2 linked regions of the Lytechinus pictus genome follow. The protein of the gene in region 1 interacts with the protein of each later gene in a biochemical or structural test. Links are inferred from orthologs where the notes say so. Each region holds a gene or a part of one and is shown on either strand. Other genes may lie near its edges. The genes, in order: ataxin-3-like and E3 ubiquitin-protein ligase CHIP-like.

Region 1 (16,319 bases):
TATAATGGCTAGAAGCACATCCTGGTCAGTATGCGAATGAGGTATTAACCAATGACATTATCCAACCATTAGGCCTATCACTTGGATTGCATACATTTAATGTCGATATGAAATATTTCAATTTTTTCCTCATTAAACTGTTACCATGCTTAATAATTCCTCTTATGCAATATGTGGGATTGCAAGTATTACAACCTGTAGTGATTCAATGAAGATAATCACATATTGCCAAATCTGTAAAAATAAAAATATTTTATATTCTATACTGTACATATATAATAAAGGTTATGCCCCCCCCCTGCGGTGATCTCAGCCATGGGTCGCCTGATTTCCTCAAAATTTTGCAGAAGGGTCAAGAACTATGTAGTGTACAAAGTTATATAGCTAAATTTACGAAAGTCCTTTAACTTGTTTTAACCCTCAATCTCCCGGGGTATTTTGATTCTTGTCAATCCCGGGGGGGGGGGCCATTATGGCCCCCCCTTAAGATCTCGGCCGCCGATTGCGCGAGCGACGCAAAAATTTGCACACTGGTAGTGTGCGATGTAATCTACAAGGCTGTATGGTAAAATTTTCCAAAATAATGAGATTTTATTTTATATGAATTAATTATGCTAATTTATGCATAAATCATACTTTTTGCTATAATTCACTAAATAAAGCTCCTAGAATGCTAATTTTTGGTAAAAAAATTCTTTGTAGCAATCTTAACAATCGCAATTAAAAAAACTTCGGTTCGGAAATCAATTTCTTATGTATTTTATTGTTTTATGAATTTCTTATGTATTTCTTTGTTTTTTTACTTTTTGTTTTTTATTGTTTTTTCAATGGAAATCATTCCAGACTTAGTTCTGATCATAAACAAGGCAAAATTAATTCAGTTTAATCAGTAAAAGTAGAAATAATGATACATTTATGAATTTTGGCTAAATACACAATTTGCATTGGATTTGTACATGAAATCACGTTTATGAGCAATTTTGGGTCTGACATGCACTTACATAATGTTGCGTAATGTCGTAACCGTGTACCCGGGCGTCACAAATTTGGTCTCAAAATTTGCGCGAGACTTGAAAGTAAAAAGTCAGTGAGCGGCGAGGTCAAAAAAATTTGCGCAGCAGATATATCGCGAAAATTGTCAAGGGGGGGGCCATTATGGCCCCCCCCCCCGGGAGAATTAGGGTTAAATAAATTAATTTATGCTTATTAATGCAAGAAATCATAGATTTTGGTATTTCTCACTAAAATAAAGCCTTAAAAAACAGCAATTTTTGGTACAAATGTCTTTCATAACTCACTCATCAATTCAAAAAAAAGTTTTGGTAATTATTTATGTATTTTTTTATCGTTTTCAATTTTCTTGGGTATTGAAATCATGAAATCTTGTTTTGAAATATTGAGGCACTAGGAAGTACCGATGTAAATTTGACAGTGCCCCCCCCCCCCCGAGTATTAGGGTAAGAATTATAAATAATGATAAAAATTGAATCATTCTTATCTCACCTTGTAATAATGAATTCAGACAATGTTGGGCACATAGAGAGCCCTCTTGCTGTAAGAAATGAAAGGGGGGTAAAACTGTTAATAGATTAAATAGAATACACAAAAAAATACATCACATGATTACTTTTTATCCTTTTCGTTACAATAATCATGTTCCAGAGTGTAGTGGTTTCACGGTACATCATCATATGTATTCCTTTGTGGGCATATGTTGGTCTGAATCCAAAGTCACAAAATGGCAAAAGAAAGACCAATGAAAATGAGATGGGATCAATCTCTTTTTTTTTTATTTTGTCAGGACCATGAAAGAATACATGGTGTACCGTCACACCGTGAAACCACTACACTCTTCTTCGTCGCCATGGAAACCTTCATTTAAATCATGTTCTAACTTAAGACTTTATTCCATTGTGTTGTGTAGCATGTATTCTTAGCACAGATAGTTGGTTGCAGACTGCAAAGTACTCTCCCTAGTTATCATATGCTTGGACAGCTCATCTGTCTGAATAAGACGGAGGTTTCCCTAAGATGGTCCAAACGTTTCTGATGCCCTGACCCAACGTTCTGCGGGGATGATAAAAAAGCATCTGAAAAGCATATAATAAAACATAACCCCTTTCCTACCTGAAAAAGGTGTTTTCTATGGCCCAAAAATATGTTGAAAAAGTCTGTTGAAAAAGTAGACTTGATTCTAAAAAGTATGGTAGATACGATTGATACCAAACAATACAAAAAAGATTAAATAAATCATAACATACAACGGCAAAAAAACTTATGAAAATGTACAAAACTAAAAGAAAAAATTAGAATGATGGGGGGAAACCCATTAAAATTGAAGCAAAATGAGCTCCATTTATCTTTTAAAATCGCAAACATGAATTCCATTAAAGAATAGAAACATGGCTTATTTTTATGAATATAGGCCTACATCATACAAAAGTCACGGAAATAAAAAGACTCAATGCAGTGTCCAAAATCAACAAAGTACATATTTACACTGTAGGATATCAGGATCAGACATCAGAAAACAGCATACAATGTAAAATACAAACAGCTTGTGTGTCTCTCAACACTTCATGTACACATGATGTACATGTAGTCAGCTTCAAGTTCAACCTGTGCAGTGAGCACTTGTTCACTGGAGCATGTACATGTAGCATTCCTCTTTATAAAGTTCAATAGACCTGTACATTTCTTTTGTTCCTGTCCAGACAAAAACTTTTTAAACATTCAGAACATTTCTTGCTCCTGACTAATTTGCATTTAAAAGAAACCAAAACCCAAATGAAAGATTCAAGCTGAGAAGAAATAAAAATGAGAGGACCTGTCTGGAGACGTACTTGCATGGTTGAGCAAATACATTTTCAGATAGTAGGAAAATACTTACCAGAAAATATATTTACATGTAACTTTCCCAAAAATAATTTACAAGTTTAGCAGCTTTACAGTATTACATACCATTGACTAATTTTTCCACTTTTTTTAACATGACTACTAACATGAAACCGTTTAATTGTATTTCCTTTATATCAAAGTTATTTGTCTTGTCCATCATGACCAAAAATATCATAGCTCTGTAATTTATTTCCTATCATAAGCATACGTTTCCATGTACTTTGTAGGAGACCATGCTAAACATTTAAAAAGGTGTACGTGTATCATTGAAATAATAAAAGAAAGAATAAACGGAAGGAAGGAAAGATAATTTTAAAGACAAGGAGAGAATTAAAAAAGGGAGAAAGGCGGAAATAAACAAAGAAAGGAAGGAAGGAAGGAAAGAAAGATTCTTTTGGTTATGTTTTCAATGAAATACATGTTTTAGTGAAAATATAGATCTAGCCTAGCCTAGGCATATTTTAAACAAGTGGAACGCCTCTGGCAGTCTCGCCTGCATTACGCAATGTAATATAGCAGCAGTGCTAACTTTGAAAACTACTATAAAATAATCATTCACAAAAACATCATTCATATAATGACATAATACCACGTTCATTGACCATAAATGACATTTGAACAGAGACTTAAGACTGTCAACTACACCCATGTCCACATTTCATTCACTCTATCCATAAACTTTCAAAGTTATGATGGCACTTCAACAATTACCTCAACATGGCCTAAGTTTATTGACCTTAACTGACCTTTGACTTGGTTTTGTGACCTGAAACTCAGGCAGGATGTTCACTAATACTTGATTAACCTTATGTCCAAGTTTCATGGACTAGATCCATAAATTTTCAAAGTTATGATAGTAATTCAACAAATACCCCCTACTTGACCAAAGTTCATTGACCCTAAATGACCTTTGACCTTGATCACGTGATGACCTGAAACTCGACCAGGATGTTCACTAATACTTGATTAACCTTATGTCCAAGTTTCATGGACTAGGTCCATAAATTTTCAAAGTTATGATAGTAATTCAACAAATACCCCCTACTTGACCAAAGTTCATTGACCCTAAATGACCTTTGACCTTGATCACGTGACCTGAAACTCGACCAGGATGTTCACTAATACTTGATTAACCTTATGCTCAAGTTTTATGAACTAGGTCCATATAATTTCTAAGTTATGATGTCATTTCAAAAACTTAACCTTCGGTTAAGATTTTGAAAATAATTTTCCCAACATGGTCTAAGTTCATTGACCCTAAATGACCTTTGACCTTGGTCATGTGACCTGAAACTCAGGCAGGATGTTCAGTAATACTTGATCAACCTTATGTCCAAGTTTCATGAACTAGGTCCATATACTTTCTAAGTTATGATGTCATTTCAAAAACTTAACCTTAGGTTAAGATTTGATGTTGACGCCGCCGCCGCCGCCGTCGGAAAAGCGGCGCCTATAGTCTCGCTCTGCTATGCAGGCGAGACAAAAATGGTTAGAATAGGCTAGAATGTTTTAGATATGTTTAGAAACGGGCCCTTGTCGACATATTTACTTCAAAGTGTCCCGTAATTTGACTGCCCTGATCTGGTCACCTTACGCTGGACATACGCCTGGGGCCCGTTTCTCAACACCGTCATAAGTCTAACTTCTTGACTAAATCGGAGATAGTGAGCTACTTGTCCGCTAACCGTTTCACGAAGCCCTCTTTACCAAGATCGGGTACAACAACCTCACTAAATATTTATGACACCTCCGAACCTGTCGTAACTTCTTTCTTAATGACGTAGTGGCATCACGTGGGTAGACTATGACATGCGAAAGTGCCTAGAAATTTATAAATTATAATCTTACGTAATCAATCATATAGGTTGAAATTACATCACAAAACAAGTGGGTTGATGCATTCAATGATAATTGTAATACAAAGAAACTATAAAAACTGTTGGTAAACGCCACAAAACCATTCATTTTGAAATAGTAAAATGATTTAATCGATAAAGATTCTACCACGTCAGGCCATCCATAACTGAACTCGTATTTGTTGTTTTCAGACCCCTATTAACAGTTGGATGAATTCTATCACTAATTTCTGCATATAATTTGTCTAATATCGTATCTTTCGGTATCAATGATTAAAAATGTTTCGTTAAAATATATTTTGATGACGTTTGGAATCGTAAAAGTCCGTATAATTATCATCATTTTGCAAAGAAAACCGTTATGGTTTACTTTCGTAAACTATTAAAATTGGGTCTTTCGGGGGTACCCATCTCAACGTCCACAAGTGATTTTTTAGTCATGAAATGAATTATTCATAATTTAATTTTCTCTGCAATTGAATGCTCCAGTCTTCATGGTTTAAGTATGTATGATGCATAATTCACCTTAGACAGGAATAACCGTCGTTTCTGGGGATTTATTCAACAATTTCTGACATTTTACTGTAATCCCCATTTACCGACGGTAGGGTGTACGTGTGGGCTCGCATGTGTTCTCATTCCCTCCCTTTTGTCAATTCACAGTCCAAAGTTTGATGTAATTTTACACATCGAATTTACAATCTAAGGATGTATAAACAACAAACTTTTAAAACTTAATATTTAAATGTTTGAATACTTTAAACGATATAGATGAAAAAGGCATGAAAAATATACTTTACCGATGTTTAATTGGGTTGAACACGATAAAAATGGTCAAAATGGCAGCCAAACTATAAAATATTTACAAACGAACGTCAACAATCACGAATGTGATATCGATATTGCTTTCGATATTATACGATCTGCTCCATATGCGAACGAAACCGAAGATAAACGATACTAGTTATACTAGTACTAGTACTAGTTATAATCGCGATATATCGATTCGAGACATTAAGTTAATAACGATAATTACGTCATTCAAGATGGCAACTTGCAAGAAAAACCGTCAGGTCAGGTGAAAATGTCTTAGATGACAGATTTCTCAATCATCCAGAGGATTTTTTTCAATAACTCCGGCCCAAGGTATGCAATTACTTAAATTATTTATATTTCCCTGATAATGGAAACCATGAAACTTTCAATTTTGCTTAAAAAACAGTTTTAAATCGCGATCTATAAAACGCTAGTTCACTATACGTTGGCTGTAGGTACGGGGCCCCATCCCCTTCAGTCTATGTATGGTGAGTGGAGCCAACGTAGTTCAGCGGAACAACCAAAATACAGAGACTGAAGCTTTTGGTCTAAATTCACCTGTGCTACTATTTTGAAAAGACTTATTTCCCAATTCATCATAATATTTGCAATTATGTCATAATTTTTCTTTTTGAAAATTATGCTATTTTGTGACTAAGGCTACGTCTCGTCTGCTCTTTTTACCGATAGTATCGATATCAAGGTATTCTAGTTAGGAAGCCTTTCGAGAAACAGGTTTAGTAAGATTGGAACTAACTCCGTGGTTGGTGGATAAAGATATGACTAACTTGTCCATTTGTTGAGAAACGGGCCCCTGGAGTCTAACGTAGGCCTAGGCTAGAGACTTTATTGACTTTGAGGTGTCTTTCCGAGGAGTCTTTGTATGATTGGGTGCCCAAACTTCACTTCAAAGCGAAAGACAAAGAAATCAAGATGGCGACGTAAACACCGCCGTAAGCTCTTCCCGTCTTTTCATAACATTTTTCTCGTTTTTTTAATGAATTCTTGTTTAAAAATGAAATCAATATCGTAGAAATGTCGAAAATGAAGTTGTACCCCATGTACATGATTTAGGGCTAGGCCTAGATCTTTTAGAGGGATAGTAGAAATCTCGGGGGCGAAAGTTTCACTTTCAGGTTTTGGGACGGTATTTGTACTGTAGGAGTGTAGCCATATGGGAAGCAATTCCAGGCTCCATGGGGAGTAAGCCTTCGTATAGTAGACTGATTTTTACTCTCCAGGAGCCTCCAGGCTAAATAAGTAAGTCTACGTTGAGTAGAAAGACTTTTACTCCCAAGAAGCCTCCAGGGCCAGGGCAGGCTAATCGAGACCGAGGCTATTATATATTTTGTTTTTTTTTTAGGTTCCAGTCTGTGCCTCAATGTCAGGATTTGTGTGTCTCGATAGACCTGACCTTCATCCATATAATCGTGGTAAATGCATAATTTCTGCTTCCATATTTTATTAAGATTACTATTGAGTCCCCAATCTAACCGATTGTCTCCCTCGTTTTGCACGGTCGCGGGCCGGAGCTCCCTGGGCTGGCGCTGGGTTTATACTTTACTACTAGTTTTATACTACTAGGCCCTAGGCTAGGGTCGATATAACCCAGAGAGCTCCAGCCCGCGTAGCGGGCTGGAGCCCAGACGCTCAGTGTGCAAACGGGCATTCAGGTGAGAGTACCGTGAAGTTTGGTCAAAATAATTTTGATAATACATAATTAAAACAGAAATTAAGCACTTACCACGATTGTATGGATGATAGTCTAACGAGTGGCAGTTTCCTGACATCGAGGCACAGACTGGAACCTCAAAAAACGATCAGTTCTGTCGCGGTAGCTCTCCTCTTTCAGAATTCAACACAAAATGGCCGATCGAGGGCTAGTATAGCACTAGCGCATATAGACTTTGTCAAATTCGCGCATGCGCCCTACACCCTCTCGAACGGCCATTTTGCTATGAATTTTGAAAGAAGGAGAGCCACCGCGACAGAACTGATCGTTTTTTGAGGTTCCAGTCTGTGCCTCGATGTCAGGAAACTGCCACTCGTTAGACTATCATCCATACAATCGTGGTAAGTGCTTAATTTCTGTTTTAATTATGTATTATCAAAATTATTTTGACCAAACTTCACGGTACTCTCACCTGAATGCCCGTTTGCACACTGAGCGTCTGGGCTCCAGCCCGCTACGCGGGCTGGAGCTCTCTGGGTTAGGGTCGATAGAGTTTAATAAAAAATTAAAATCTTATCTTATCTTTCTAACAAAAACTAATTCGGTACCTTTTCATGGAAGATAGAATCCATCCTCAGCTCGGCCTCGTCTGGCTTAAGACTCGACTCCTATTCGTCCTAGTGATAGAGTTGACAGATCCCTATTCCTAGTAGATCTAGCCTAGATCTAAATTAAATCTAGCAGCTCATCTCTCGAGCTCTCTCATGTAGCTAGACGTGAAGTTAGTTATTACGGACTAGCAGCTCGCTACAAGACGCTGCGCCACCGCACTTCATCAGCGCCGCACGCCGGCAGCTCCCCGGCGCGGAATTGGAAAGGTAGCTTGAGAAACCCCAGCCGTGGTGCCGGTGCTGCTGTGCGAGTTCCGTGGGTAATATTTTTATTTGTAGGCGAGTTGCCATCCGTAAAGTCAACGACGCGATTATGCTTTGCGTTGCTGTTGAAAAGATCTATACCTCTGTAATGATTTACATTTTTATATCAATTCGAATTTATACGACACAGACCGCGACCGCTCTTTTCCATGCTTTTGATATACCGGGTACTCTCATTTAATTCGCTTACTGTTTTTTTATACTCTTTGCTTTTTCTCCCTACTCTGTGTTCAACAGACGTATAGGGCCTACTTGAAAAATCATTAGCTAGCTACGGTTCGTATTTAGCTTGCCCCGGTGCCCCTAGCCAGGCGCGGATCCAGGGGGGGGGGGGGCACGTGCCCCCCCCCCCCCCCCCTTTGAGAAGCAAAATTAAAAATTTGTCATGTAAAAGTGCTATGGTGTGCCCCCTCTTTTGAATTTTTTATTTTTTATTTTTTTTTGCTTGTCAAATTGATCGGGTACGAAATATCCTTAATTTGTAGTTGAAAACCTTTTTTTTGGGGGGGGGGGGCGCGGGCTTGTCAAAAAAAAAATTTCCCAAAAAAAAATTTGTCTCCCCATTTTGGAAAATCCTGGATCCGCCCCTGCCCCTAGCTTCCCGCCGCCCCGAAGCTATTATGATAATGATGGGTGATGGTGACGACGATGATGATGATGGTGATGATGATGATGATGATGATGATATGATGATGAGGATGATATGATGATGATGATGATATGATGATGAGGATGATATGATGATGATGATGATGATGATATGATGATGATGTGATGATGATGATTAGATTTATTTATTTTCCGTTCAACAAAATACAAGAATAGTTTCATACGTATACATTCATTAGGGGGCGGACTGGACGAGCTTATAAACAAACACTATAGAACATCAGTGCAGTGACAGATCCATGGGGGGCGTTTCCGTGCCGACGTGCCCCCCCCCCCCTTGAGAGTCATATAGTCAATATTTTCAATGTGTCGTTCATGTACAAGTGTGCCCCACCCCCTTGCGGTCACAGCAAATATTTTTCATGGAAATATGTCGTTCATACACAAGTGATCAGGGCTTCTTTTGTTTGCTTGTCAAAGTGTAAGCAGGAAATAATGACTTTCAAATTTTAGTGACAACCTTTTTTTGTTGTTGTTTTATTTTTTTTTTGCTTGTCAAATTTTAATTCCTTTGAAAAATGTGCCCCCTCCCCTTGGAAAATACTGGATTAGCCCTTAGCAAATAAGCGATACGCGACTACAAAATTAAGAGAAAATAATATTCAAACTTAATAGTAAATAATAAAATTATAAAAGTGAGGTAAAGGGAGGCAGAGGAAGGAGGGAAGGAGGCCGGGATGGTGCAAGTAAAACTGAAAGTTAAAAGAGGAATATCAGTGCATGCACACTGTCTCTGGGCAAGTTGTATCACTCTGTGACTAAATTTTATTGATATTTAGTTCAACGTTAAAGGACAAGTCCACCACAACAAAATGTGGATTTGAATAAAAAGAGAAAAATCCAACAAGCACAACACTGAAAATTACATCAAAATCAGATGTAAAATAAAAAAAGCCTTATGACATTTTTAAGTTTCGCCCATAAATTTCACAAAATATTTATATGCACATCCCGGTTGGTATGCAAATGAGGGAACTGATGACATCACTCGCTCACTCATTTTCTTTTGTATTTTATTATATGAAATATGAAACATTGTAGATCTATTTTTTGTCCTCATTGTCCTGTGAAACAAAGTTTTCTTTCGCCCTGATCGAACACGTGGAATTGCCATTTTTTTACATTTCATGGTTCAGTAAAGTTGGTCTTTATTGTCAAATGACTCAAATCTGTAAATTTAGCAATATTGTACAATTCAAACAATAAAAGACAAAAGAAATAGTGAGTGAGGGACATTGTCGAGTCTTTCATTTACATATGACTAAATCTGTGCATGTAACTATTTTGTGAAAATAAGCGAAAATTTAAAATGTCATAACTTTCTTATTTTACATCTGATTTTGATGAAAATTTCAGCATCATGCTTGTCTGATTTTTCTCTATTGATTCAAATCAACATTTTTCTGAGGTGGACTTAACCTTTAAAGTAATTGTACTTTAATGACGAGGGGGATGAGGCATGATGGTGATGATGATGTGACGATGACGATGATGATGATGATGTAGATGGTGATATCATGACGGGTGACGATGATGAAAAAGATGAAGATGATAATGACTGATGACGATAAGATGGTTATGACGATGGTCCATTTTCCACTTACTTTTCAACTCCGCTTCGAGCTTCTCCCCCCCCCCCCCACTCTCGTCGTTGAAATTGAACTGATCATCTAGCTCATGTATGTTCTGAAAGATCACACTCGCATAGTAGTATACTAATTCACTACTTAAAGGGGAAGTTCGGGGAAATTTATTATAAAAATAGCATTTAAAAAAATTGTTGAAGGTTTTAGGAAATCCATCAAAGATTACAAGTTATTTATCATTTAACCAACGCTCATATCGAAAAGAATCTAAACGTAATATTGAATTAATGAAGCAAGACTTATTACTTGAGGGGTGGGAGGATGTCTATAATGAAACTGACGCAAACACATCGTATAATCTCCTAAATAATAAATTACAACATTATTATGAAAAGAATATTCCCATAGGAAAGGTAAAAAATAATCGAAAAACACCCAAACAACCCTGGATAACAAAAGGTTTATTAAAATCGATACAGACACGTAATTGCCTTTACAAGTCACATTTACGCAATCCTACTGAAGCCAATTTAAAAAAATACAAAGTATATCGCAACAAGTTAACAAAATTAATTCGTTTATCACGTAAAATGTATTATACTAATAGAATAAAAGATGCCAGTTCAAATACTTATACTACCTGGAAAATCATCAAAGAAGTAATGGGAACAAATGCAGATCCCCCACCTACCGATAATATCACTTTAAATGGTACCAAAGTTGACTCTTCCCTTCACGCAAACTCATTCAATTCATTTTTCACAAATATCGGACCCGAACTTGCAAGCAAGATCAATAGCCAAAATGCGCATTTCACGGATTATCTCCCCGAACCTAATCCACATTCATTTTTCTTGAACCCTACGAACCCCACAGAAATTCTCAACATTACAAGGTCTCTTAATAGCTCAAAATCTCATGGGCATGATAAAATTAGTATGTCTCTTTTAAAAGAAATAATTCACCCGCTTGCAAACCCTCTTAGTCATGTTTTTAATAAATCTCTATCACAAGGTATATTTCCTGACTTATTCAAAATCGCCAAAGTCAATCCAATTTTTAAAAAAGACAATCCTCATGAAATAAGCAATTATCGCCCTATATCTCTACTCCCTAGTATATCCAAAATCCTCGAGAAAATAGTATATAATAGACTTTATGAATTTATCAACAAACACAATTTATTAATTTCTAATCAATATGGCTTCAGAAAAAATTATTCAACAAACTTGGCTTTAATTCAAATTTACGATAAAATAACAAACGCCATAGCTAACAAAGAGCATGTCATTGGTATATTTTGTGACCTCAGTAAGGCGTTCGATACACTTAATCATAATATTTTACTTTCAAAACTTAATTATTATGGTATACGAGGTCAATCACTCCTTTGGTTTAAAGATTATTTAATAAATCGAAAACAATATGTCACATTTAATGGCAACGATTCTAGTTCACTTTCAGTTCAATGTGGTGTCCCTCAAGGCTCCATTCTAGGCCCGCTTTTATTTTTATTATATGTCAATGATATTATCAACACATCTTCTATTTTATCATTTGTATTATTTGCTGACGACACAAATATCTTTTTTTCTCATAAAAATATAACTTCCCTAAATAACATATTAAATCTTGAATTGATTAAAGTTTCACAGTGGTTTAAAGCAAACGAACTATCCTTGAACTAAAAAAAGACCCACTTCATCCATTTTAAACATTCTCATATTACCGATACTCCAATTCACTTACAGATTGACGGTACACCATTAGAGCGGAAGACTCACTCTAGATTTTTAGGCGTCATCATAGATCAAGCTTTGTCTTGGAATGAACATCTGCACCATATCATTATATGTATCTCGAGAAATATTGGAATAATTTCCAAGTTGAAATTTATTTTACCTCATAAAACTTTACTTCTATTGTATAATTCGTTAATACTCCCGTATATAACATATTGTAACGTTGTTTGGGCTAATTGTGGTTCCACAAAACTTACTTCTATTTCTAAATTACAAAAAAGAGCAATTCGCATTTGTACAGGATCGCATTATTTGGCTCACACCGATCCTTTATTTTTTAAACAAAAGACATTAAAAATTGCCGACTTATATACTATTCAAATAGCTATAATTATGTTTAAATATATTAACAATCTGCTCCCTTCGTCTTTTGATAACATGTTTAAATTTAATAGTTCTGTCCATACTTACCCAACGCGCATATCCGGAAACTTTCATCTCTCTAACCCCAGACTGTTAATTGCCTCTAAATCAATTCGACATCATGGTCCAGACATTTGGAATGATCTTCCAAACAATATTAAAACTTGTTCTACCATATACTCATTAAAAGCCACTCTAAAGAAAACTATCATTCAATCTTATCAACCCCTCGCTCCAAATTAAAACATTCACTCAAATATCCACATTCGCTATTTAACATTCTGATTTTACTCAACTGCTATACAGCACCTGCACCTGCAATGCACCCACTTGACCAGTAAATATCAATCTAAGTCACGAATCTTTTTATGAGGCCGCCATCAATTCAAGCCTAACCGCTCACGATGGTGGTCTCCTGCGTTCATTTATTACATTATATATATATGTTTACATTTATAAAAGATTAATTTATACTCACACTCTTATTTGTATTTATCATGTAATATGACTACATTGTTTATATTGTGAATTATTTTGTATATTGTAATTGTAAATATTTTTGTATTGTGTTTTTGAACGCAGAAATAAATGCAAGCAAACAAGCAAACAAACTTTTATTTACATGCATAAGCTTCCCCATATTTTTTGTAAAAAAACAATGGCTTGTCACTTTCATTTTTTTTGGTCACCTTTAGTATATCAATATAGACAATAATTATTTCACAAGGCCGCTCCTAAAAGAAAAAAAAAAGTTTAATCATCATGAACCATTAAAAGATTGAAATTAAAAAAATACGGGGCAGCTGCTCGTATATGACGTAAAAATCTAAAACTTAAAATTCTTATGACTTTCTTAATTTTTTTATGGATTTCCATCAAACCTTCACCAATATATATTTTTTTCTGGTACAAAGTTCTCTTCCCAAATTGTGCTCCACTTATCAAATTGGCCACGCATTATTTGCTACCAATAATAGGCTGCTCACTTCGCAAGCTTACCCAATCAAAAACAATGTCAATCAGCTGGCGTGAATTCAAAATATTGTGCGTGCATGATATTTCATGATCGACAACCTTAACCACGGACGACCATCGACCACACATTTTTTTACAATCGTGGCATTCAAACGCCAAGATGCCTTCAAAATTGAGCGATTATGATATTCTTTATACGATCGGGAGTGGCTCTTACGGGAAATGCAGAAAAGTACGTCGGAAAAGCGACGGAAAGGTAAGTAAACTTTTTTATTCTCGGCTCGAGCCGAGGCTCGGCTTCTAAGTTCTTGCTTGCGCCTTGCGCTTGGCGGGCATTTAAATAGTGTGTGGTGGGGAGGATACCGGTATGGTACTAGGCTACCTGCGGCGGGACGATCGCGAGCGAGCCTGCGATGCGGCGAAGGTCGCTTAGCTCTGGCTGCACTGACTAGACAACATTGTTGTCTCTAAAATACTCGGTATGTGTGGGCCTATGGCATCTCGTCTCAGGCTTCATGGAGAGTAAGCCTACGTACAGTATAGACAGGAATAACCGTCGTTTCTGGGGATTTATTCAACAATTTCTGACATTTTACTGTAATCCCCATTTATGATTTACCACTCTAGGCGACACCGCAATACTTACCCGTGCTAATAAAGTGGGACTCCGCTCACGCGCGTTTGGGCCTCCCTAGCTTAGAACTAAGCAATATTATCTAGAAATTGTTACATTGTAGTCATTAAGTATGTTCTATTAAATAAATTGATAATGTTTAATCGGTACTCACCGGTTCTTTTGTTGCATTTTCAGACCATTTCTCACAATTCTTCGTAAATATTTGCGGCAAATTTTGTCGCCATAGACAGCCTTAGCATCCATCTTTATTGATAAATGGAGCGCCCTTTACGATAGTTGTTAATGCCGCGGAGAAATCGTTAGGCATTTTGGCCTGTGTTCAAGGCGTTCTTTCTGTTTTATTTTTTATATTGAAGATTGTGCATTTGTTGAATAGCGCCGTCTACGTCAGGTATGAGATCGAGTGTATAAATACACTCTTCCAAAATAATTATGATTCCGACCTGGCGCTGTTTAACTTCAATCTCTTTCACCTAAATTAGCGATGAATGCTAGCATTATAAAATATATATTATTAACGTCTGACGAAAAGAATAACCAACCGATCAGCTGACGAGAACGCGAATCACGTGATCTTCATATCAGCTTCGATCGCGAGTCAGAAGAGAAGAGCAGCTGCCCAGAAAATCAGGAAAAAGCCGTGAAAATGTAAGTTCCCCTTCATTTCTTTCATTTTTTGTTGTTGCTAACGATGCATTTACACTCTAAAATTATAATTTAAATAAGAGAAAGGAATATAGCTTGCACTTGTGATATAATATATAAATATCCTGTTCTCAGAGATTTCTAACCAAAAATACTACTGATGTCGCCTATGAGGTCCATACATGTAATGTTGGACCTCATTGGTACTAGGAGTGCCATTTACCTACGGTAGGGTGTACGTGTGGGCTCGCATGTGTTCTCATTCCCTCCCTTTTGTCAATTCACAGTCCAAAGTTTGATGTAATTTTACACATCGAATTTACAATCTAAGGATGTATAAACAACAAACTTTTAGACCTTGATATTCTAACATTTAAATACTTTAAACGATATAGATGAAAAAGGCATGAAAAATATACTTTACCGATGTTTAATTGGGTTGAACACGATAAAAATGGTCAAACACGATAAAAATGGTCAAAATGGCAGCCAAACTATAAAATATTTACAAACGAACGTCAACAATCACGAATGTGATATCGATATTGCTTTCGATATTATACGATCTGCTCCATATGCGAACGAAACCGAAGATAAACGATACTAGTTATACTAGTACTAGTACTAGTTATAATCGCGATATATCGATTCGAGACATTAAGTTAATACGATAATGACGTCATTCAAGATGGCAACTTGCAAGAAAAACCGTCAGGTCAGGTGAAAATGTCTTAGATGACAGATTTCTCAATCATCCAGAGGATTTTTTTCAATAACTCCGGCCCAAGGTATGCAATTACTTAAGTTATTTATATTTCCCTGATAATGGAAACCATGAAACTTTCAATTTTGCTTAAAAAACAGTTTTAAATCGCGATCTATAAAACGCTAGTTCACTATACGTTGGCTGTAGGTACGGGGCCCCATCCCCTTCAGTCTATGTATGGTGAGTGGAGCCAACGTAGTTCAGCGGAACAACCAAAATACAGAGACTGAAGCTTTTGGTCTACGTACAGTAGTACTTTTACTCTCCAGAAGCTTCCAGGCTACTCTGCACTGACCCGAAAACCTGGGCCCTGGCTTATTATTATGTCTTTAAGTTTTGATCAAGACAGTTACAAAAATATTCATCAGGGCTGATAAATTATTCACATTTTAGTACATACCAAGTGAATAACTGGCAAATTGCATTAATTGCCAGCAACGAGCAAGATCGGAAAGATTATTGATGAAAATGTGATTGCAATTGGCAATTGATTGACATGTCATATCATGCCATGATTGTTGCTTGAGAAATTGAGCCAGGGACAGGGCGATTTCAAACTTCTATTTACTCTATACCGATCAACGAGTGAGCAGTGTCTTGGAAAACTGTTAGTGTTAGTAGGATGGGGGGTCGGGTGTCCGGACACTTTATATTTTTGAAGCCTTCTTTTTTGTCTTTGTATTACACTAAAATATGAAT
Region 2 (16,939 bases), on another chromosome or scaffold:
CAAGAGTGTCATGCAGATGTACTTTGGACAATCATACAACTCTCTGTACTGAAACCGACAAGTCGAGCATAGGAGATTGAATGCCAATCAAGAGGACTTTGACAAGAACCAAAGCGTTACCCATGTCTTCTTCCGACACAAGTTGCCTCAATGAGACACTGGACATAAGTTGTGTCGGGAGAAGACAAAGAGTTTTATAGGAAGGCTAGGAAAGCTTGCGCATGTTAGAGCTCCAAAAGCATCAGTAAGGTAAAGCTCAGAATTGCTACAATGCATTGAAGAGGACCATAAAAGGGTTTGCAGACAAGCCTATAATACGTTATTTGTTGACTGGATTGACAATGATCCAGGCTGTAACAATTAGCATGTTGGGAGCCCTTGATATCATGTGCTATGACTACATTGGAATAGCATTATTAAAGGCAAAAGATTTTTTGTCTTAGTATTTACCACTGATCATGATGATGATGACGCTAGCTGCTCTACAAGTCCTGGGACCCAGTCCTGACCCAGACATGGCCAGATAACATAATCCTTAGTCAAGCAGGTGTAGCCAAACTACTGAAGAAGTTGTTAAAGAAACCAACCTGCATGAAGCTACTATGCCAGATGGAATCTCTGCTACACTTCTTAATGAGACTACTCATCAGATCTTACCTGCCATAAGTTTGCCTTTTTTGGCCTCCCTCTTTAAACGGTGAAATTTCAAGAAAGTCTTTGTTGTTCCCGTCCATACAAGAAAGGGTTGTCAATTCTTACAAACTACACACCAATTCAAATACTGTGCTTTGTTCTTGCCAATCCCATCATCTTGTCAGACTAACAACATGGCTTTAGGAAGCAGAGAACATATTTCCAGTATTTTTCCTTTAATATATAAATTATATTAGTATAAATTTGCATGCATATTAATTTGAACAACTGAAATGTTTTCACTGCAATCAATGTGAGAAAAATAAAAATTTGACATTTTCCACTTATTTGCATAATATGCTAATGAGGCAGATTTGCTAGCTTTTTCAAAATAAAAACATAGTCTAACTTATTTATTCATCATAAAGTTTTGTTCAAATTACTTGCTGTGGACATTTAATTTGTAATCTTGGGATTATTTTCCTTATTTTTTATTTTTTAATGGCTAATTTGCATAATATGCATGTGTAGTGGAATATCCAGTGTTGCAATTAGTGGCGGGTTACCCCCCCCCTAATCTGGCTAGATTGACTGGACTATACTACCACTACTACTACTAATACTACTAATTCTACGACTACATCTACTACTACCATTACCACTACTACCACTACCACTACCACTACCACTACCACCACCACCACCACCACCACCACCACAACCACCACCACCACTACTACTACTACTACTGGGTTTATACCACATTAAATCAATATAAAAAGTGCTGCTAAAGGGACATTATAATAAAGACTTATACATGTTCATGTATGTATCCATATTACAGAGGGTGAGTTTATAGTTTCAGATAAAACTGGTAGAAGTTTTGGAAAAAAAAAAAGACAATTTTAGGTGAATGAAAAAAACCATCCCATCCCCACCAAAAATAAAAATAGAAAAATAAAATAGAGGGGTATTCAGAAAAGCCGAGGACCTTTTCAACGGAAACTGACTTGTGGACAGGTAAAAATAAAGAATCATGGAAAAAAAACAAAATAAGCCCAGAACAAGAGAAAGAGTGGAAGACGGAAGATATTGAAACAAGAGAAGAAAGATCTTAAAAGCAATAGTAAGGCAGACGCCAGAAGAAGACAGGTGATTAATAATACTGTAAAAGAGTACCGAAGTGCGACTTCATCAATTTTCACTTTAAGCATATTAACGTTTTCGATACCATATTTTGGTAGAGCATGATGAAAAACCCCCACAACCCAAATTTGGTGGGAATCGGTCCATGGGGCCCCCAAGATATGACCTCATGAAAGAAACCAGGCCAATAATACATTGACTTCAATGGGGCTAATTATGTATTCATGAGGTCATATCTCAGGCCCCCATGGACCGATTCCAACCAAATTTTGGCAGTGGGGGTTTTTCATCGTGCTCTACCAAATATGGTATCAAAAACTCTGAAATTGTAAAAGTTTTTTGTGATGTCATCACTTTGGTACTCTATAAAACTAAAGTTACCTTTGTTTATCTTCTTCCATGAGGTTCATAAGATGTGTCTGCAGTTCAATCTCTTGTGCAATTCTCTTTTCTTCTAGGATATTCCATCTCTTTTTCTTTGCTGATCTTAGTGCAGCAGCTATGTCATCCCCAAAATTCACTTTCTGTTCTCTGGCAAGGTCATGTGCTATATGAGGAATATAAACATCAATTGATAGCTGGACTTGGCAAATCAGCCAGCTCAAGTCTTGCAGAGGACATGGCAAGCAAATACTTATGATAGTTTGAATATCCAACTTGTAAAACACAGGATCAAGTTTGCAACTAAGAGACATGGTCATGGATAATTCTATATTCATCATAGTACACACCCTCAGGAAACCTACAGCATCACTGCTTTTCATCCTATGAGTTGGTTTGAGATAAGATTTTTGTTTTCATATAAAGTTCACTTCATCCACTTAATACAGTTTTGAGATTATGGGGGAAACACTTTGCATTCATTATATATCTTAGCAAGAATACATAAACATACCTCTGCGAAAGCTTGTGATGGCCTCATCGTATCTCTCCTCTTCAACTAGAGTGTGTCCCAGGAAGAAATGTGCCTTGATGTTGGAGGGATCAAGTTCTAAAGCGTGTCGACAGTCATCCGCACCATGATCCCAATGTCTCAGCTTTATCTGACACAGTGCTCGATTGGTAAAGAACTTGGGATCCGATGGGTTTTTCATCTAGAAATAATACAAGACATGTAGAAACTATAAATATCACTGAAGGTGATTAATACCCTTACCACATCAAGAACCTTACATGTATAAGTATAGCATTTTCCCCTATTGCCAAAATAAGTTGTTACCATGACAATGCAGTAACCAATACATCTGAAGAATGTGTCATGCACGTCATCATGCCAAGCCTTATGATCACCATCCTTTTGGGTCTGAAAATAGACTAGGGGAGACAACACACAAGGAAAAGGAATTTAAAATGAAGAGAAAATATTTTTCTTTAAAGAAGAAAGAAATCAATATTTGTAGGCCTCTACAAAAAAAAAATCATCACTTGCCCTGTCGGGCAAGTGATAAAAAAATTTGCTTGCCCGATAGAAAAAACTGCTTGCCCGATTTTTTTTCGAAAATTATTTTGCTCTTAATTATTCTTTTCTGTCCTGGCTGAAGTTGATTTACTGGTGCTGCCTTTGGCATTTCTTTTTCTTGACTCTTGTTCAAGTTGTTCTGGTTGCCAATCACGACGACAAAAGTGGCCTATTTTAGTCTGACGACTCATTGTTTATTTGGTTTGAAGTTGAAGCCGAGTCCTGGCCAGGGTGACCGGATTTCACAAAATGAAATACAGGACAATCGACAAAAAAAAAGATCAAGAAAGAAGGCTACACAGTGTTAGACTTGTGAAAAAAATATACAGAATTGGAAGGGAGGGTGAAGGAGAGAAAGAAAAGAGATGAATTGAGAAGAAAGAAAAAATGAAGGGGAAAATGAAGGAAATAATAAAAAATATAAGAAAGCTCTAATAAAAGAAGGATGAGAGATTCATTCTTTGAATTGAATATAGAAAGAAAAAAAGAAAAGAAAAGAAGGGAAGATTAATAAATGTGTGAAAGTCAAAATAAAGAAGAGAAAAACAAAAAGAAAGTAAGAAAAAAATAAAAGAAAAGAAGGGAAGATTAATAAATGTGTGAAAGTCAAAATAAAGAAGAGAAAGACAAAAAGAAAGTAAGAAAAAAAGAGGAGGAAAGAAAGAATGAAGGAAAGAAAATGTTTCCTTCATTCTTGGAAGAAAGAAACAAAGAAAGAAGAAAACAGGAAGGAAGGAAGGAAGGAGGGAAGGAATGAAGGAAGAAAGGGAAAGAAAGTATAAGGGAAAAGAATAAGAAGGGCAAAATGAAATAAATAATGAAAGAAAGAAAGGAGGAAAGAGAGGGAGGAAAGAATGAAGGGAGGCCATAATGAAAAAAAAGAAGAAAATAATGGAAGGAGAGAAAGAACGAAAATAAAAACGAGTGGAAGGGAGAAGGATCAAATGAAGGAAATAAAAAAGGAAATGTATTAAGAAGGCAAGTAGGAGAAAGAAGGAAAGAAATAAAATGAACAGAGAGAGAAAGGAACAGGAAATAAAAATAGATATGTAACAAAAAAGGGCAAGAAGGAAGGATAGAAAAGAAAGAAAGAGGAAAAAGTTCAAACTTCAAGCAAATAAAAACAATCCAATCATATTTTATAACAAAAATCCTAATGATATTTGGTGTTTTTTTATATATATTTTTAAAATTAAAAAAAAACTAAAATGTTTTAGAAATGAATAAAATACGGGACGTCTGGTCACCCTGATCCTGGCCGAGTCAGTCCGAAGCTTGCATGCATTCAGCGCGATCTAGCTCGAGAGTCGACTGGCTCGCGATCGCTTGTGTACGTCCATAGTACATGTAGAGCATGCGCTCAGAGGGCGAGAGAGGGGTTTCCCCAGCTAGCTCCTTCGTCGATTAGTAGCGCATGCGCACAGTGTAGTTTAGAAAGTAAGATGGCAGCACCCATCGAACGGGACCGCTGGCGATAAAATGTCGGTAAATTGGCGCTGATTTGACATGTTTCCACTGTTTTTTTACTGGTATGACATTGTATGAGAGATAATTGATGGATAATTGCAATTTATCAAAAATTATTAAACTTTACTGTCAATTTATCTTTTTCATTTTCAAAACAAGCACTTGCCCGATCGGGCAATTGACTTTGAAAAATGCTTGCCCACACGTCAATTTCACTTGCCCTGGGCAAGCGGGCAAGCAGGTTTGTCGCGCCCTGATTTGAATCTTTTTTAAATAATTTTTTTTTCAAAGAAAATAAACTTGAAAAATATCTATGATGGCGAATATAGTCAAATTGACTGGTTGCCAAATACAAAGACCCCCCCTTACAACTGGTCAACGATCTACATGTAATTTGAAAGAAATCACAATTTGCTTATTTTTTAAAAGTACATGTATGAATGAAAAGAATCTTTTCATTTAAGTTTCAAAGTAACTATGGGAATACTAAATCAAAATTTTGGAAAAATGGAAGGCATTATATTTCAGTCAAGACCAAACTGATTTCAAATATCAGCCAATCGTGTGATTGTTATGACAATGTTACTATTGAATTTTCATAAATTATTCTAATAAGGAGTGTAGTATAGTCACAGATTTTGAACAATTTACGCATTCCTTCAATGATTTAGAACTTTCCACAGTATTAGATGTTCCATGTCTCAATATTCTCATCAAATGCAATTTTCATTTAAAGGAGAATGAAACCCTTGAAACCAGCTGAATCCGTATCAAAGAGAAAAATCAAAGAAATATATTGTTGAAAGTTTGAGGAAGATCGAATGAATAATAAGAAAGTTATGAGCATTTGAATGTCGAGATCACTAATGCCATGTAGATCCTCCTATTGGCAATGCGACCAAGATCTGTAATGTCACACACGTACAACTCCCTCATTACTTTAGTACTTATTTCACTTATATTCTCACTTTTATAGAGTCTATCACAAGGTGAGGTGTTCTCTTTATGAGAGGACAAGTACAGAGGTTTCACAACATTATATCATTGATGAATCGTTTGTCATATGATTAGAATGAGCAAAAAGAGATGTTTTGGGGTATATTTTCAGTGTCCAAAAGGGGAGAGTTGTTCATCTGTGACATCATAGATCTTGGTCGCATTGCCAATGGGAGGATCTCCATAGCATTAGTGATCTCGACATTCAAATGCTCATAACTCTTCTATTGCTAGTCCTATTTTACTCAAACTTTTGTTGATCTTATTCTTTGATTTTTCTGCTTTCACAAAAGCTAACTCGCTCCAAGAGTTTCATTCTCCTTTAAACATTGGGTTGCAGACCAATCATAAGGTGTGCGGTGGCCTTTTAAAAGGCATTGTGTATTTACAGCAGTGATCGCCAGACCGAGCCGCGATATCGGACTTGTTTTTGTTTTTAGGAAGTTGCGAGAGATCCCAGAGCACATGAGAGCAAATTGCTCGCAAATCTTGTTTATTTTTTTCGCTTTTCAGCAGCCATAAAAATTGTTAATATCAAGAAAATTGATGCAGCAATCAAAAAGGGAAGCAGGCGCAGACGAGAAACATCACTTTTTTATATTTTTTAGCAAATTTTTGAAAATAGTAAAAAGTAATATATTTCATGCGGTGGCCAAAAAAGATGCGCGCGAGGACGATCAACTACTTTCTTTTTTTACTTGGACTTAACTTAGTTTGGATAAACCAGGGAAGTGAGAGTTGCGCGACAGCCGAAGTAAGTCCCTTTTTTCCCCCCTTTTAAATTATTTTTCCCCGTTTTGGTGCATTTCAGGCGAAAACGGAATGACGTTTATTTTGGTCCAGTTCTTTTCATATTGACTATTGTTATTAAAGACAAAAATCGATGAGCCCCGTCGGCGTCGGGGGGATTTTGCATTGTTAACCCCCTAATCATGCTAATGGCAGCTGCACGATCGCGAGCCGTCTGTGTACGAGGAGAATTTTTTTTAATGTAAATAGAGTCCTCGAAACGGACGGCTGCCAGCTGTCTGGTATGCCGTATGGTTTTCACCCAAATATCTTCATGACCTTGCTAAATTACTTACACAAATGTTTATGAGTGGGACTAGAGTAAGCAAAGCTCGTACATTGTAAGCAATATTTGTGATTATTTATGCATTCAAAGGCTAAATATCATACTCACTATGGCCTTGTTATAGCATCCAATGGCCTCTTCATATTTGCGTGATCCATAAAAGCGATTCCCCTGTTCCTTTAGTTCCGTAGCATTCATCTTTATGTTCATCTTCTTTCACAAATGTCAGTTTTCGATCACCAGCACGCGTACCTACAGTGCTAGTGCGCTTAGATTTTCTTCTCTGTAGTGTAATTCTGTCAACATCGACAATTGATGACAGTTATATCGGCTATCAATCAATCATTGCTCTCGATATGTATCTCTGTCCATAGAATATAGGTCTAAAATACTTTATGCATTATTTCAATCTTCTAGGGGCTAAGTTAAGTGGTATAGCGCTCTGCGCTGAATCACATTTGGATTATTCTCGATCATTATCTGATTCTGACGTAATCGAATCTGCAGCAGCGCAAGAAAGGGGGGGGGGGGCTATAATATAAAACTACTGGCCTTTTCGTTTCTCATTTGTTTTTATTATATTGTCAAGGCACTGCGTGTAAACAATAAATTAACTTAAAGGTAAATCAAGATATATCATAGGCACAGATTTTATAACTACATGTATATAGGCCTACACTGCATGAGCAATATTTTTTTCTTTTAAAAGGGGACTTTCCATATGCAATGATGCGCCCTACATGTTTTTATAGCCTGTAATTGTGTTTCTTTTCTTTCTTAACTTTGAATGTGCTTATATATTGTGGGTCGCGTCAGTGGGTCTATATCAACTTTATTACGTACCATCTCTGACTCATCTTTGCAAAGTGGTCTTTGAACCCACCAGTTGAATTAACTAAAAATATGTACATTCCCCTCCCTTCCCCAGACGTCTGGGATGGAATCAGTGGCGGCAACAGTATTTTTAAACCGTTTGGGGGGGGGGTGCGAGTCGGGGGTAAAGGACTTTTTTTTCCGGGGAGACAAAGGCGGACACAATTTTTTTTCGGCTCCGGCGCGCCCTAAATTTTGTACCGGTATATATACTGACCTGAAAAGGGACACGTTAAGGCCTATTTGCAGTGACTCCTCCTGTATTCTACAATTTGTTGATCAAGTTTTTGCTTCGAAGGCTATTGTTGACTATTATTTACAAAAAAGAGGCGTGTGTACTGTGCCTTAAGACTACAAAAAGCATTTGATTTAGTTGATGGGCAATCTTTGTGGTTAGAATGACGAAATCAGAGGTAAATGGACTGAAAAGTATTAAATGTTGTATATGCAAAATCATGTGTCTGTAAACATGTCAGACTTTTATAGTTGTAATATCGGCGTAAGACAAGGTGAAAATCTTTCATCTTTATTGATTTTCAGGAACATATATCTCTAGATTTTATCCAGGCTTGAACTTTGCTATCTGAGGATCTCTGTAATGTCCTACAAGATGAGGATTTGGAATATTTTCTAAATTATTTTGTATTTTATATGCTGATGAAACAGTCATTTTGGCAGAAACCCCTGATGAGTTGCAGTCAGCATTGAACTCAGTTCACGATTATTGCAGAAAATGTCACTTCAACTTTGACTGTAAATACTTCTAAAACCAAAATAGTCATTTTTTCTGGGGGTAAAGTTAGGAAGGGCCTATTTCACTTTTAATAATGAGCCGATTGAAGTCGTTTATGATTTTTTTTTACTTGGGGATAAAATAAATAATTGTACCTTAAAAAAAAACGAGTCACACAGGCGAGAAGAACATTATCATTGTTAGCTAAAGCCCCCCCCCCCCAAAAAAAAAAATGCAATTGTCAGTTGATATTCAGTGTCATTTATTTGACCATCTGATTTTACCAATCCTGTTGTATGGGAGCGAAATATGGGGTTATGAAGACATAAGCCAGATTGAAGTGTTACACAGAAAGTTTCTTAGGACAATATTATTTGTAAACAAGTGCACACTATGGTGTATGGGGAGACAGGACGGGGTTGATTCTGAATCATTATAAATGTAGAGTAATTGGCTTCTGGTTGAGAATTTTAAAATGACATGAGAACAAATATTCAAGTGTGATACTGAAATTTATGTTTAGGTTAGATGAGCTAACAGATTATAACTGTAGCTCCTTGGCAGGGGCGTAACAGGGGTTGGTGGCCAGGGGGGGGGGGGGGGCAAGAGTCAAACATTTCCCGGTCATATCATGGTGTTTTGAGGCGACAATTTTGAGAGGGCCAGATATTGCGTATCGGGCATAATTTATCCTTTTTTTTAAGTTGCTAGCGATTGAAGCGAGCGAGCAAAAATTGTGACATATTTAATTCAAAAATCAAATTTTGTGATAGATTTTGACATAATATATTTCACCCTTCTCTCTTTCATTCCCTTTTTGGTCTGTACGCCACTGTGAACATGATTCTTTGCGGCAGTATAGCGTGAAAGTAAAAAATAGAAACGAGGGGCGCAGTATGGCGCATGTGCTAAAAAGCTTCTTAATATACGTCCCGAGCGAGCGAAGCGAGCGAGAAAAAAAAATCACCTTTTCATGAGAATCTAACTTTGAGATATTTTTTGACATTATATTCAATAAATAAAATCATATCCTACACGTTTCCTTTGCTTTTCTTTCCTCTTTTTTTTTGTTCTTGGTTGTAGAACTTTTGGGGACCATGACCCAACCCTGCCATAATCATATACGTCAGTACTATGCGGTTGGGGACCAGGGTGGAGCCCCCGGAACTTCTTGTTATCAAAGCCATTTTAAACCTCGCAGATTGCCGCTATTTTTAATCAAATCGCGGGTATATACAGAATATAGCTTTTACATAACACATTTACTCATCCCACTGCAGTTGCGTAATGAATCAAATATTTTGAGGGGGCACAATATAGCAACGCGGGAAAAACGCGAGCATAGCGAGCTGGAAAAAAATGTTTATCGAAATTAAAATACTAATCATGTGACAGATTTTTCCATTATATTCAGCAAATAACACATTTCATTTTTTCCATTCGTTCCGTTACGTTGTCTCCTATAATTTCTTGTATTTCCTCTTGGGTGTGGAAACAAGAACCCCCCCCCCCCGCCTGTACGCCAGTGATGGAACGTAAAGCTTAATGTAGGAAGGATCCTTCCAGGGGTGTTATATATAGAGCCATTTGAAGGTTATACATGAAGAGTCCCTACGTACTGCGTGGGGTCTGGAGCAGAGCCCGGTAGCTTATTTTCATAAAATTTAGCAAGCCTATAGCACAATGTTGTATCAGTCCATCTTTCTTCCCGCTCTTTATTTTCAATCCTCGGTAGCCCGGTCGTGTTATTAAGTTCTTTTTTTTGTCCCTATTCTTCGTTTTCCAATTTAGCTTTTGGCTAATTCCATTCTACCTTCATTTCCAGCTATTGTTTGCCGTTTTGTCATCTTTTAATTTATTTCCCTTTCTTACTAATCATACTGGTGCATTACACAGGCCCATTTTGTAATGATTTGTTCTTTCTCAAATGTTCTTCTTTCGTTTATTTTCCCGCTTTCCTTTTTTTTCCATTAATTCTTTTTTCTTCGTTTTCTTGTCACTTGTCACTTTTTCCTTTCCCTTTCCTTTTCCCCTTTCCTTCCCCTTTCCTTTTCCTTTTCCCTCTCTTTTCTCCTTTTCCCGATGAAATCCGCCAGGGGGCGGCAGCTTGCCCCCCGCCTGTTACGCCACTGCTCCTTGGCTAAAATTCATTGAAAATACATTGAATCGATAGTATCGACCGCACAGAAACGTTGTTAGTGCTAACAGAGCACTAACCGGCACTGTTAGCGAGGTTTTGCCCGCACAGAAGCATAATGTTAGCCCAATCACTAGCTAGCGCTGTTAGACTAACATTACAAGGTCGCACAGAAGCTAACATTAGCGCTAATGTTTGAACTATTCACTAACAGTGCCAAGGGCACCGATAGTGACAATGTTAGTGAATATCTATTGCGTGTCTTGCATAAAACTTGTATATCAAGTGCTTTAAAATAGACCTAGATAGAATTAAAAGGGTACTCCAGTCCAGGGGCGGATCCAGTTTCTTCCAAAAGGGGCCCGGAAAGGGGGAGGAGGGCACATTTTCCCGAGAAAGAGTATGACAAGCAAAAAAAAAGTTTACGTCTAAAATTGAAGATATTGTTGTCCCAACAAAAACTGACATGCAAAAAAGGGTCTTTTATTGCTTCAAAGGGGGGGGGGGGGGGCACACTTGGGTAAAAATGGCTGGCATGTTTATATTAAAAATTTTGATTACTGCTTTGGATCCGCCAATGCTCCAATCCCCAATACGTGTGGGAGAAAACAGAATGAAATTAGATGAGAAGGCTGTAATTACAATCAATAACATAATTCTTAAATGGAAAATAATGAAGAATAATAAATAAAATATGAATTGAATGAAGTGAATACTGTACAGTATTTTTGAAAACATTGATGCCTATCATGCCACCATGAATATCCTAGAATAGAATTACGAAGCCAAGTCCGATTTTCTTATTTCATGATTAATATTACTGTTGTTATTACCTTGTTTCCCCCCATTATGTACATGTTGTGATTATGATTGTGATTGCAAAACCAATATAAGTCATATCCCCTTTTCCTGATTTGACCGTGAACTGGTAAATTTATGTTTCAACACTACACGTAGGCCTATGTAAAACTTGTAAATGGTCATGATGATTACTGAAGCAGTGGTCATATTTACTTTCAACTGTAAGGACAAATTCAGTTTAAATGAACACGATTTCATATACAAACATGGACCTATGAAGAGATGGACATCCATCGCTTAGATAATGAATTCACTAACAGGTGACTGTAATTGTCATCTGAATAACATTCTCTTCATACTAGTCTTCTTTGGTCCTATGATGGTCACCGTGAGAAGGGACTGAAGCAGTTAGTGATTGGACATTTATATTTCACAAATTATATGCGCAGTTGATAACAAATCAATGAAATAATGGAAAATTGATGTGCAGTTTTTGTTAACCTTTGGTAATCTTAGTTCCATGTGTTTTATTTGGGGAAATGTCCGCATATTTTAATATAGAGGCAACATTGTGATTGATTGTTTACCATTTAAAATTCAATTTTCCCAAGTTTCTCCATAATATTCCAGATATACGTGGCACACAACATTTATAGATCGTGTATCTCTCAGTGTTATTGAGGTCCTTATGTCTGAGCGGTAGTTAGCGGATCGAATAATATCATATTTTATATCATAAAAATCGTCTGCTCCTCAAGTTTGCTGCTCCATTATTATGAAGCATGTTGACTGAAAGGCAAATGCTGAAACAGGGTATCTGCCAACAAAAATCAGGACCGGGAAACTGTTCCGTATTTGAGTGATCAGATACCCTTGGTAGTCATGGTAATTGCTAATGTAACAACACCTGTATGTTCTCATTAAGATGCACATAACCAGATGACGGTGACTATCATTGGATCAAAGAAATACTCGCGTTAATCGTCCATCTTTTTCATTGGTCCATGATAAAAATTATGAAGTGGGGAAATGACAAATGGCATCATCAGCTCGCCTATATAGTAAATATAATATGTAATATAATTTTTACGTAAGTTATGCAAAACTATATCACATATTTTTAAATGCCTTTTTTATTTGATTAATGTTCAATTGTTTGTATGACTATACTTCACATCCTGCTTCCCTATATACACCTCCATAGACGGAAGTCATTCTTCCACTCTACGAGCAAACATATACAGCCCCCTTCCCCTATCAAACAGTTATTGACTTTTGCCGTTAATATATAATTTTTTCATCGATGTTAAGGTCTATGTATTATGTTAAAACATGGACCTACTATGGTTAAAATAATCAGAATTCAGTAATTAACACCGCGGTACAATGTCATCACAAAGTTAGAATTAATGGTGCAAATCCGAACCCTGGGTTAATGGGAATAATACATTGAGCCTATGGGATAAAGGCCCTTATATTGTATCAATCCACACATAGATCACTATAGTACGTCATAGATTTTGCCTAACTATAAGGCTCAAACCCACTATCAACACCTGTGCTTAACAGCGCTTTCTGTGCGTTCATTCTGCTCATGGTGTTAGTGGCTGATTTGTTAGTGACTTGTTAGCACTAACAACACCTTCACTAACAGTGTTTCTGTGCGGTCGCTACAGGCCTATCAGATTTCTGGCTTGATCAATTCAATGGCTCGAGTGTTACAAGAATTGTCATGAATATTATCAAATCCAGGGTACAATATATTTTTGCCCAGAATCGTATTCGAAAAATTACAGAATATTTAAAAGTAACCATGAATATGAAAAAAAATATTTACAGTGCTTAAATAAGGAAGACGTTATTACACTTTCTAAATTCAGATGTAGATCACGTACACTACCTGTTACCAAAGGTCGTTCCAATGCTCACATCCCATGCTAATTCTGAAATGCAGTGTATACTTTGCCATTCTTCTGACTTAGGAGACGAATATCACTACCGGGTATCACTATTAATTGTTTGTTTGTCCTTTTTTTCACAAATAGAGAAGTTGATTGTTAACACAGAGTATACGCCGTGCATCGAAGTGTTCTGGTCATGGAAAAGCTTTTTAATACTAAAAAAGTGGGCGTCCTAAAAAAATAGCTAAAGTTGCTCACCTCATTACGTTGGAATTAAGTCAAAAATCAAAGAAAGATGATTGTAATGTTAATTCATGTAGTAGATCAGTTCGTACCCGAAGTGGTAGGTTAGTGAAACGACTTGTTCGTTTTCTTGTGTAAATAGATTGTATAATGTATTACTAGTACATTATATTGATATGAAGTTATAACTGTTTGCAAATATCTATATTTTGTTATATGTTGTTTATATGTTGTACTCTGAGTCTCATACCCCGAGAGGAGGTCGATAGAGTGAATAAAATCTACTTAAATCACGAAAATGATATCATAATCTCACCGAAATCAACGCGAAGCACAACTAAAAATTGTTGATATTAATCATTATGAGATGATAACTGGACGTTCTAGGCCTAAGCACTTGGCCATGAACTGAATGGGTGTATAGCTCAACAATTTTGATGCATAAGCGGAGTGCGAGCTAATTTTTTTTTAGATATTCAGCACATTTTTCTTTTTAAATTTTGAACATTTAGGATGCGTATCTCACAAAAAAATGGAAAAAAAAATAAAAACTCAAATAGCGAGAATATTTTGTTGGCTTGAAAATTTGATTTATAGCCCCATTCATATCCTATTGGACTTCTATCCCATGGAAAGACACATTAACCCGTTCCTCACAACATAGTCATACTTCGCACCTTTCCTTTCGTGTGCATCATCGAGTTTAGTATCAAATGGGATTGTTTACCAGTGATAACTGTTCTCTTCTTTACTTAAAACGACTGAATTGGGAGCAGACCCAGCAGCGGAGTAATGAACCCCCCCAAAATATGAATAAATAAAATAAAAAATTAATTAATTAAAAAAGATGGGCACAACATGTCGCGTGTACGTGACGAAATCACTTAAAAGTGCAAAGGAGTTTAAGCGGGCGAGCCAAATAAAAAAAATGCAAATCTTATTTTCTGATTGATTTTTAACCAAAAATATTCAGAAAATAACATTTTATCCTTTTCCTCGTATTTTTTTCTTTTATCCCTTTAAGGGGGGATGGGTTCATGGAATTTTTTTATCCTTTTCTTTTTCTCTTAATTGCTACCCCATCTCTTTTCCTTTTTCCAGCGCTAATAGGGGGGGGGGGGGTTGTAGGAGGGGCCTCTTCGTACTCTGGATCCGTCTATGCCCCTCCTCCAATAAGATAGGGCCTATATGATAAATGAAATTTATTTGACTGGGCAACAGTATAATTATGTAGACATGGCAACGTATTTATCTGACCAAGTTGACTTAACAATTAACATAAGTTGCTCCTAACATTTTATAATGATGCCAAATCACACGATTAGTAAGACTGCAAGATAAGTCGACTTGGTAAGATTAAACATTTTCGCCATAATCATGATAATGACAAGTGAAACTTAAAAGCTTCCATAGTTTCGGATGTGGGGGGAGGGGGTTAACATATTACATTTAGTTTCAGCTGTTGATACAAAACCAAGCTTCTTCGGCGATTAGGAACTAAAATCTAATCACCTCCGAAATGATAGACTTTATGTTTTTAACATTTTATCCATTGTACTTATTCACTTACCATTTCTATTTTCCCATGGAAATAATAAATAAAAAAGACAATAATAACGTGTAAGGAATATTTCGACTTTGCTTGGAATTTGAGTAAAACACTATAAACTCAAGTCATCTCTCCGAATTACAAACTCGAACTAAAATTTTGTTTTATGGATGGACCTAATTCTCGCTTTGCAGATATTACGTTACCACACATTCATGAAGTTGGCAAACATTTGGATGTATGTGGGTCAAATTTCAAAAAAATTGACTTTTTGAAGAAAAAGTAATATTCACAAAACTATATCACGTTTCCCCCTTTTCCTTCCCTTTTCTCTCTTTTTCTTGGTCGTGAACATTTGGGGTCCATTAACCAAAGCCGCCACCCCAGTTATTACTGCATGATCACATTAAACTATGTACGAGCGAAACACATCGGATTAGTGATCTAGTTGGCATATCGTCCGACTCTCAAATTTGACAATAATTCCCATGAATCAAAACTTTCATTCAAGATGAGGCTACAAGGGCTAATGGTTACACGGATATCCTGGCCATGATCCTCGTAACTTCACCCCTTTTCTTTTCATTTTCTTGTAGGATAGATTTTCAAGAAGTAGGTTTCCCATTTCAAAGATCATCCGTCGCTAGTTTCTCGCCCGATCCATGTAATTAACCTTAGGCAGAAATCGGGCTAGATGATAATTATGAATGTCATATAAGGAAAGTAGCCTGGAAAGAGGGGTGGAGAGAGAGGGAGAGAAAACAAAAGATCGATGAGGGGAGAGGAGAAGGGGAAATGAAGAGAAGGGGAGAGAGGGGGAGTAAGGGGAGAGCAGGGATGGATCAATTACTTTTTTTTTCTTGCTGTGATGATGATGTTGATGATGATGATTATGTTGATGATGATGACGACGATGACGACGACAATAATGATGATGATGATGACGGCAGTGATGACGGGGATGATGATGACGACGATGGGCTATCAAGTGGGTAATCCCAACCCTCCCTATTTTGTTGTTATGATATGAGAAATCAGAGACGTCGCTTGACATTCTAGCTGTAGGAAATTTGAGAAAAAAAAGAAGAAATTTAACAAACTTTCGTACAATAGGCATAGTAGGCTTTAATACATGCGTGTGAATTAAACTCAAGTGTCGTCTAACGTCCCATTTCATTGTATTTTTTCAGCCGTTATAAATTCATATTTGTCTTCTCAAAATATTATCTTCCGATAATATATTTTTTTATAGTTTTATTCAAAATAGCTCTTAGACAAGTCATGTTTGAGCACTTACTTTACAAATTTAGTAATTGGCTATCAGGAAGCTACGGACAAAGATTATATCCTGAAATTTTTACTGAATTATTATATGCTCGGTTGGCAATGTATATTATAAACAGGACCAGGGGACCGTTTCATAAAAAGTTACAACTTTTGTAACTTTGCCATTATGGCAACTACCATGGCAACAACCATGGCAACATGGCTCAGCAGCCAATCACAATTAAGGTTACCATGGTAGTTGCCATAATAGCAAAGTTACAACAGTTGTATCTTTATATGAAACGGGCCCCAGATGCGGATATATTTAATTTTGATCGAATACCCGATGTAAATAGATTTGATGTAATATAGGTAAACTTATTCAATAAAACACATTTTCATTTTGTATCCTCCATAATTATCAGAACCGTTTGGGGGCACCTACATTCTAGTAATGAATTGGAATATTATGACGTGCTCTTTGGGTGACTTACCTAAACCATTCTACCTCCATGCCTAAACTAAAGAAATGATAGGGACAGTCTTTTTGTTAATGAAATAGCATATCAAAGTATATAATTTTAGCAACGAAATCATTACACCGTAATTAGACTCCGAACGAACTTTTCTGCAATTGATTTTCTCCATTGACATTCTAGG

The links.
Region 2: of the proteins of ataxin-3-like (region 1) and E3 ubiquitin-protein ligase CHIP-like, one has a biochemical effect on the other in vitro, tested with the Homo sapiens proteins (6 studies listed by BioGRID, with this or other methods). The link is inferred for Lytechinus pictus from reciprocal best matches to the Homo sapiens genes ATXN3 and STUB1.

What each region holds. Positions count from the first base shown.
Region 1 is NC_087251.1:48,004,211-48,020,529, reverse strand, and holds the start of ataxin-3-like, read right to left. Parts: upstream 8,413-16,319; 5' UTR 7,875-8,412; coding exon 7,851-7,874; intron 2,629-7,850; exon of another isoform or gene 2,500-2,628; intron 1,553-2,499; coding exon 1,504-1,552; intron 1-1,503. Other genes in the region: serine/threonine-protein kinase Nek2-like, read left to right, coding at 13,733-13,828. UniProt on the Homo sapiens protein: Deubiquitinating enzyme involved in protein homeostasis maintenance, transcription, cytoskeleton regulation, myogenesis and degradation of misfolded chaperone substrates.
Region 2 is NC_087254.1:34,708,978-34,725,916, reverse strand, and holds the start of E3 ubiquitin-protein ligase CHIP-like, read right to left. Parts: upstream 7,290-16,939; 5' UTR 6,987-7,289; coding exon 6,885-6,986; intron 2,874-6,884; coding exon 2,675-2,873; intron 2,327-2,674; coding exon 2,161-2,326; intron 1-2,160. UniProt on the Homo sapiens protein: E3 ubiquitin-protein ligase which targets misfolded chaperone substrates towards proteasomal degradation.